Caenorhabditis elegans: one gene and its partner. The protein of the gene in region 2 interacts with the protein of the main gene of each other region in a pairwise test. Each region holds a gene or a part of one and is shown on either strand. Other genes may lie near its edges. The genes, in order: C54D10.3 and kynu-1.

What was found.
Region 1: the proteins of kynu-1 (region 2) and C54D10.3 interact in a two-hybrid assay, tested with the Caenorhabditis elegans proteins (one large-scale study listed by BioGRID).

What each region holds. Positions count from the first base shown.
Region 1 is NC_003283.11:12,416,755-12,419,939, reverse strand, and holds C54D10.3 (ShKT domain-containing protein), read right to left. Parts: upstream 1,349-3,185; 5' UTR 1,339-1,348; coding exon 1,266-1,338; intron 1,214-1,265; coding exon 1,073-1,213; intron 1,023-1,072; coding exon 925-1,022; intron 877-924; coding exon 798-876; intron 745-797; coding exon 617-744; 3' UTR 512-616; downstream 1-511. Other genes in the region: C54D10.4 (RDS/peripherin-like protein xRDS35), read left to right, coding at 1-201, 251-439; cdr-3 (CaDmium Responsive), read left to right, coding at 2,563-2,799, 2,844-2,966, 3,012-3,079, 3,125-3,185.
Region 2 is NC_003284.9:6,106,147-6,111,385, forward strand, and holds kynu-1 (Kynureninase), read right to left. Parts: upstream 3,193-5,239; 5' UTR 3,190-3,192; coding exon 3,100-3,189; intron 3,052-3,099; coding exon 2,934-3,051; intron 2,464-2,933; coding exon 2,343-2,463; intron 2,298-2,342; coding exon 2,153-2,297; intron 2,107-2,152; coding exon 1,813-2,106; intron 1,726-1,812; coding exon 1,500-1,725; intron 1,444-1,499; coding exon 1,358-1,443; intron 1,309-1,357; coding exon 1,075-1,308; intron 981-1,074; coding exon 858-980; 3' UTR 774-857; downstream 1-773. Other genes in the region: prx-3 (Peroxisomal biogenesis factor 3), read right to left, coding at 4,857-5,012, 5,060-5,179, 5,227-5,239. UniProt on the Caenorhabditis elegans protein: Catalyzes the cleavage of L-kynurenine (L-Kyn) and L-3-hydroxykynurenine (L-3OHKyn) into anthranilic acid (AA) and 3-hydroxyanthranilic acid (3-OHAA), respectively.

The DNA of each region.
Region 1 (3,185 bases), on a different chromosome or scaffold from region 2:
CCGTTTACATCGACGCTGAATATTGGGTGCCCTCATAACTCACTTTTCAAAAATTCCACATGTGGAAAAACTCACTCTAGAGGTTGTGAAGAACGCTTGAAAACACTATACACAGTCAGAATCTTGCTCTATTCGTGTATTGGGACAGTTTTGTCTATTATATTTGCCGTTATTTCTCCATTTATCTATTCACAATTTGAGGCAACCATCTAAATTTCAATAATTTATTTATTCATAACTGTAATTACAGATGGATAGACGGCTTGCTAGATCCAAGTATATCCGTGATTGGAGGCATTCCTTAGAGATCCATGTCAATGATCATCGAATGTGGGCGATGAGGAAAACAGCAAAAGAAACGAAAAAGATTGAAGAGAAGAACCCAAGTCCAGTGTCTCCAGTGAATATAAGCTCTTTTAACATTAAAGGTGTTCAATGAAAATTCTATTTCAGGCTTCGAACAAAAGTTTCAAGTCAGAAAAAAAGTCAAAATCAGAAAGAAAACAGGAATAAATGTTGACTACTAAATCTTCATTTATCGATGAATATTTGTGAAACTTCGAATGATTTATTGATTTATTATGCTGTTCATCTGGAACCGTAACATGACGGTATCCTAACAGAATCCACAAGTCTTGGGGCATTGATCTTTCATCAAAGACAAGTAGATCGAGTTGGTACACAAGTAGGCTTTAGCTGCACATTCAGAAACTCCGGTTGATGGGTTCACTTTGTCGACACAGCCTGTAACATTTATATCTTCCATTGCTTTTTAAATATTAAGAATTTGCACAAACTTGAAGATGATCCACCGTTGTTGTTGTTGTTATTATTATTGTTTCCACCACTGCATCTGTTGCACGTTTTTGGGCATTGCTGAAAATGTACAATGTATCATTAGAAGTCTTCACTCAATTTTATTACCTCAGTCATCAATGTGTAATAGGTTGAATCATTGCACAGGTAAGCACTCTTTGGGCAATCAGATACTCCTGTCGACGGATTGACTTTGTCGACACAAGCTGAATGATTAAGAATAAACTGATGTTTCAATAGGTCTCTTATGTCTTACTAGAGGTGGATGCAGCTGTTGTGGTGGTCGTAGTAGACACTTGAATATCAGCATATTCACAACAAGTGGAGTTTGTCAAACAGGCCATTCCTTCTGGACAGATGTAGATGTCCATAGTGTTGACAGTCATTTTGAGACATGCTGAAATTTATTTTATTTTCATGAAAATTTTACCCTCAATTCTTTAGCGTACGTCCTTGGTCGTTGGCACATGTTTGGGCGGAAGCAGAAGCTACCAATGTAGAAACCAAAATGATGAACAGCATTTTTTGTTACCTGAAAATAGGAAAGGTTTAGATAAAATATTATAAGGTTTTGAAACTGACTGTAAAATCCATTAGATATGGCTTCTTTTATAGTCAACGAAAAGTTCAACAATATGCCTAAATATAAATTATTCCCAGTTGAGCAAACAAACTTTTATTTTGCATTTGATTAAGATGAGATTCTCCTAAAATAAAAAATTGCTGTGTGGGTTTTGAATTTTATGAATTATTCATAAGTATTGCAATTCAATTGTTGTGGTGCTAATCTTTCATCCGTGGAACTCAAATTGTGAACAGTAAATTTTGTTGACTGCATTATAACAGTAAAATGGAATGCTAATTAATACATAGATAGAATCTTATACCCAATTGTACAGTCACCTATGATAGTCTCGGCATTGCCTGAGCAGAGTCCTACATAGTTCTCAGAGTTATTCATAACGGGCAGCTGGAAAGTCGACGGACCATGTAGAAGAGTCTGATTGTTGTATATAACCGGAAGGCAGCAACAAGCAATACGTTCGAGTTCCATATTTCTACTTTCTTGCACGTGAATGTGAGATGGCTGTGAACATTGAAATTGGTTTCCACAAGATGTTTTTGTTGTTAAAAAGAGTAGTCTCTGATCCGTTAGACAGTTCTTGCATCAACTTGTAAACAAAAGTGTTCCACTATAAAATAGAACAGAAAAAATAAACATGTTTATTTAATTCGATGAGAGTACTCAAATTTCATTCGAAATACGCTTTCCGAATATTCCTAAATAAATTTTATTACAGCCTGTTTTCTGATTTTTTTCCCCTGTAAATATTAAAAATCATCATTTTTTAGAGATGTTTTTGGGTAATAACTTCAAGAATTATTTACAAAACACTTTAAATGCTTTGTGGCATCATTTCTCTAAAATTCTAAACTGTATAAAAATTAATCCATTAGAGCAATCTGTGATGTTTTATCAATGTTTCAATATTTTTTATCTAAACAAAAATAAAAGAGATATCAATGATTAGAGCAACAAAACTCGTTTTTGAACATTTAAAATTAAAATGATTTCATAAAGTTCGTTTTGGGACAAACATGTTCATTATTATTTATAGTTTTTTTTCAATTAATCAACGGGCAATCTGAATAGTGCAATTTTAATTTTCATTCTGGATTTTCTCTATTTGATGCAATTTCTTTTTAAATTTTCAAATGAAAAACTTAACACAAGTACTTTTTCAGATGATCAGTTCCTGTGCAATCAAAGTTGTGTTCATCTTATCTGTGATAGGAATTATTATTTATAAAAAGTTTTTCAAGAAACCATCTATTCGTGCAAAACCAGAACCTTATAAAAAAGATTACAACAGGGGAACTGTTTACTTGTATCAATTCAAAAGAACCAAGAAATGCCCGAATCTATCACCATTTTGCATGAAAGTTGAGGTTTTATGTAGAGCATACAAGGTACCATATGAGGTGAGAATTCTCATTTAATTCTGAATATTATGCATTTTTAACAGATATGTGATGAGAAACTTATTTGGTCGAGAAACGGAACATTACCATTTATTGAATTAAATGGGGAGCATATTGCTGATACAGATCTTATTGAAGTGCGACTTCGCGAGCATTTTAATATTTCGGTAGGAATCAAATATTTAAAAACTGTTAATTTTATAATTTTCCAGTCTTTACCAAAAGAAAAAGAAGCACAATCTGTTGCTATTACCAGATTAGCTGATAATCATTTATTCAAGTGAGACATTCTCGTATTAACTTGTTTCTATATTTTTGTTTTCAGTGTTCTTCTTCGATACAAAACTTCTGATAATGATTTTTATTATACCCTACTTGGAAACATG
Region 2 (5,239 bases):
GTATACAATTACACATATCAAATTACGTTTGCATCATACCATATGGCTTACGTAAACTGACCTGATCGTTTTCAAAACAAGTGGAGATATGAAATATATCAATATTTTACAAAAAAACGTAGTAGGGGATTAAAACATATATTATATTGACTTTGTTTTTATCTTTTTCTGAAATGAAAAGATTGACGTCAGGGATTCGCGTCCTTTTCAATTTTTTTCTGCACATTTACATAATTTTCTTATTTTCTGGAGATTTTTTTTTGAAATATAGGAAAATATATGTACTTTCCAAAATCACTTCGTTTGTAAATAAAATATTTGAGAAGTTGTAAAAAAACTGCCACATTGTGACAGTGTGCCGTGAGAATGTGCCGCTTGGTGCAGTGCATTCATATTTGAGACGGGTTTGGAACAATTTTCAGAAATTTCAGTTTCAATTTAACATTTTTTCAGTGAGGACAAATAGTCTATATTTCTACATAAATTTCAAAAATAATTCTGCCACAATGACGAGAAAAATAGATTTTATAAATTTCCCCAATGTGTCGCACATCTCTGTTTGATTCAAAATTAACAAGGTGTTTTGTTTTAAAACTATTTTCAAAATATTTTCTTTGTTATACACAATCAAACGCATTTTGTGAATTAATGTCACTAGATTATGTATGAAATAATATTTTGTCTCTCCATTTTGAGCAAATCCGAAATCACTTAACATGTAAATTGCAGTCATCTAACTTGCGTGTTTGTACTGCGTTTGCGTTTCAAAATGATTAAATCACATTCAGATCATTTTTTTCATATAAAACTCATACAATACGTTCAACATTATTCTACTACATTGCGAGCCAATTGAATTATTCGCTTTCGACAATATGAGCAACTTCTTGGAGCACGGAAATGAATCTGCGAATATCCACGTAGTTATTGTAAAGATGAACTGGAGCGACACGGATTACATTCGGGTATCTTTTGTCAACCTGAAAGCGTTTATCGCAATTTAGGAATACTTGTAAAAACGCCATAATATTATAGCAAAGTTTGGCTATTTCATCGAACATATGATAAGCTTACCGCACATCCGCGTTTAACAAGCTCAGGATAAATAATGTCGATTGGAGAAGAGAATTTCAGAGAAAGTTGGCAACCACGCTGATGGAACTCTTCTGGAGTGATGATAGAAATTGAGAGCTTAGTAGTTCTTTGCTCAGAGTTTTCACCGAACAAAGTTTTCACTAAGTACTCCAGGTACCCGGTCAAATAGCATGAACGACTACGAAGGTTTTCAAGTGAGACTTGATCGAAAACCTGAAAAATTAGAAATGCATAAAGATTAACAATCAAAAAATAAACCAACCTTCAAACTTCCCAGCATAGCAGCGACGGTATGAATTGGAGGGTTACTGATTCTGTAACCAGCAGCTCCCTCGTCCAAGTCGAGAACTAGAACACAAATGAAATTTATAGAAAAATATATAGACGATTGAAAAAAATCTTACCATTGTCCATGACAAATCTCGATGACATTTTATGACTCCACCATCCCAACATACGCTCCCGTTGGTCATTCAAAAATCTTTCATGGACAAAAAGACCACCAATTGATCCAGCTCCTGTACATCCGTACTTATACGAGCACCAACAGGCAAAGTCAACATCCCACCAGTGAAGATGAAGGGGAACGTTTGCGAAAGCATGGGCCAAATCGAAGCCAACAAAGCATCCCTGAAAAATTAGAATCACGGATGCAACAAGTTACAATATAAAGTATATAAAAGCGTTAGTTTTACAGAAAATTTCATTAAATATTACCTTTCGATGTCCCGCTTCAGTAATAGCCCTCATGTCAAAAAGCTGTCCGGTATAGTACTGGATTCCCGAGAAAAACACGATTGCAATCTCATCTCCATTTTTCTCAATATAATCAAGGATGTCTTCTGTGCGAAGAGTTTCCTCTCCCTCTCGTGGTTCAAGACAAACCATACTGTCCTGAACAGTTCTTCCCTTCAAACGAATCTGAGATTCAATTGCATAATGATCGGATGGGAATGCTTTGGATTCGAGAAGGATTTTATGACGAGTCTCCGTGGGTTTGTAGAAGGAAGTCTGAATTAGTCAGGTTAGCATTAACACCAATAGTTTTCACATTTACCAAGAGCACGTGGATATTAACAGTTAAACTATTGCACACGGAAACTTCCTCTTTCTTGGCACCAACAAGACGTCCCACACCTTCTAAGCAGTACTCATCACAATGAGCCCATGGAACTTCTCCAGACATATGCCCGAATACTCCCCTGAAATGTGTACTGTTGTGGGAAGTGCAAAATTAAAAAACCAACATTTTGGCCCATTTGTCCAAATGATCTTTCATGACTTCGCCGGTTGCTTTTGGCATCAATCCGAGTGAGTTTCCGCATAGATAAATGCTATCACTCTCTGGATCAACAAGGCTTGGATCAGCTGAAACATTCGATCTTAAAGTTATTCACAAGTGGAAAGGTTTCTATTCCAGCCAAAAAACGGTGAAAACTTAGTGTTCTCAATTTTTCAAAAGTTGCCGATTTAAAAAAAATTCCTCCCAGTTTTATATTTTAATTATGTTTAAAATGTTTATATTTTAACTTTGTAGGGGTTTAAACATTTGAGAGTGCTTTAGATTTCTTCAAAACTCAGTTTTCACCATTTTTGATTTAAAATAAACAAATTCCGAAGTTAAAAATTATTATGATTTTTGCACCTTAGTTATTTCCCCACAAACCGTACTTAACATTTAAACTTGTCAGCTATAATAATTGATAATTTCATATTAATAAATTGTGTTTCTTTATTTTAACACCAACTCATGGCAAAATTGGCGAATGTGGAAATTTACAACATGGCGAAACTGGTTATTCTGAAGTTTTTTGAAAAGAATTTTCTCTAGAACTTACCATCTGGAAGAGTTCCGGCTTTCGGATAATGGAACAAGTCTCTAATTTCTTTCAGCGCATCACTATCGGAAAGAAATTCTGCAAGAGCCGGGTCCGTCAAATCTTTGATTCCACTTTCCTAAACTTATTTTTAGAGCTAACAAATTTCAACAAAAAATAATCTTACATCAGCCATTTTGTTTAAAAACTGAAGAACTTTATCTTGAGTGCACATGCATTCTTGCTCATTTTCAGGCTGCGGTGGGGCGTCCGACATGATCTTCAAAAAGGAAAATGTTAGAATCTTCAAAAAAAAAACAAATTTCTAAACAAAAATAAGAAATCGGAAAACTTTGAGACAAACAACAGCTGCATCCTACACAATATACGCAATACACTCCGCCGTTAAATAAAAGGGAGTTGGGTCGTCGGGCGAAATTTTATCGTTTTCGACTTCTTTTTTCTGTTCGCTAGAGATACACAAAATAGACAAGACCAAGCGCGATAAGATATGGGTGTTTCGTTGAAAATCATATACTGATTGCGTTCATAAGTACAGACAAAAGTGACTTGTCTGATCGATTAATAGATATAAAAAATAAAAAGATATTTATCTCTCAAGGTCACCATCTTTGCATCTGCTTGGTGTACAGTTCTGGTGATCAATACTTTGGTTATTATCAAAAATAAACATGTAACAACATATTACAATGAAGTTTTCTGAAACAAAAACAATAATTTCTTCAAAGATATCTGATGGGTATCTTTCAAATTTTGAAATCGACAACACAAATTTGAAGTTTAGTAAAGCAGTGCTCCTAATTCATAATCTATGTCGTTTTCTGAACACCGCTTCATCGGTTGCTTAGATAAAAGCTCATACCACGCGTGGTATCAAAAACTTGGAAAAAACCTTGAAAAAAAAGTCAAAATAAGATACAAAACCGACATAATGTACAAAAAAGTGTAATTGAACATATTTAAGAGTTTCAAGCTTATTCAATGTTCAATAGCTCCGAATCGAGCATAAAAGTATTACCAATATGAATAGTGAAAACATGATAATAATATTAAAAAGTAAATTATTCACTGGCAAAATACAAAACGCAGTGAGATTTAATTTTAGTGTTAATCATTTTGACATTTTTCAAAAAAAAAAAAAAATTTCCTGCGAAATTTCAATAAATCGCAGAGGATCCTACACAGGCTGGTACTTTTTTGTTCCTTTTGGTTTTTTTTTGATTTTTTTTGGTTTGTTTTTTTTGTTGATACGAAAAATTAATTGTTTAGTTTTATTTTGGATTTTTTTGGAGACCAAAAATTACGCTACTTCCTTACTTCAAACGTTTTTTGTATACAAAACATATTGTATTAGCTTTTTTCATGCTATATGAGTTTAACTATAGTTTGTGAACTCACAAAATATAACTGTTTTGCTTTCTTTAGTCCAATATCATTTTTGGTCCCAATCCTTGCCCTCTAGCAAGTGGGCGGTCGATTTTTTTGTTGCTATTTTGCTCTCATTTTTAAGATATCAAAAATAAAATTGTAGGCAAAGTGGTTCTCGTATGCCAAATCCAAAACCATTATTAGTTACTTATTTAAATTTTTGGAAAATCACTGAACTCGTGGATGTTTTGCATTCTAATATTATTTCTAGCACCTTCTACTGAGTCATGAGATTTTTCTATCTTTACAAAGCTTCAAATTTTCATTATTTGGTTATAGAAAAACAAGATACAATGATTTTACTTCAATGGTAATAGTAGCAATTAATTTTTTAAATGAATCAAATTTTTGGAAAAACTCGTAAAAGCTAGTTAAAATGTAACTTTAGTCAAAGAAAAAATATTTGTGAAATAGTTAAATTCACATTTTGCAACGGTTTTATAGACAAAAACATCAGTCCGGTCAAAAAATATAGTAAAGCTAGTTCAGTTTTGGCTAGGAATTGAAAACGTAAACGGCAAACTGGTGAATATCGGAGGAATACAAGGAATTGAAGAGTGGGCTATCGAAAGCAGTTGATGTGAGAATTGGGAAGGAATTGGAAAATGCTGGAACATATTTGACCAAGGGTTGTTCGTCGTTTTCTACCATCTAGAAAAATATATGTTAAGTTTGCAGATTTTGAATCTTAAACTCACCTTCAGTGCAGCTGAGAAGTAGAAATCGAGCAAGCTATTCAGTACATGTATGCTTTTGCTTGATTCAAGATTTGTTGTCAGCTTTTGCAGAAGTTTCATTACAGACGAGCTGTTGTCCTGCTGAAATATTTTTTTTCCATAGGATTTTTCGGTATTTTTTCAATTACCCCGTCCCCATCC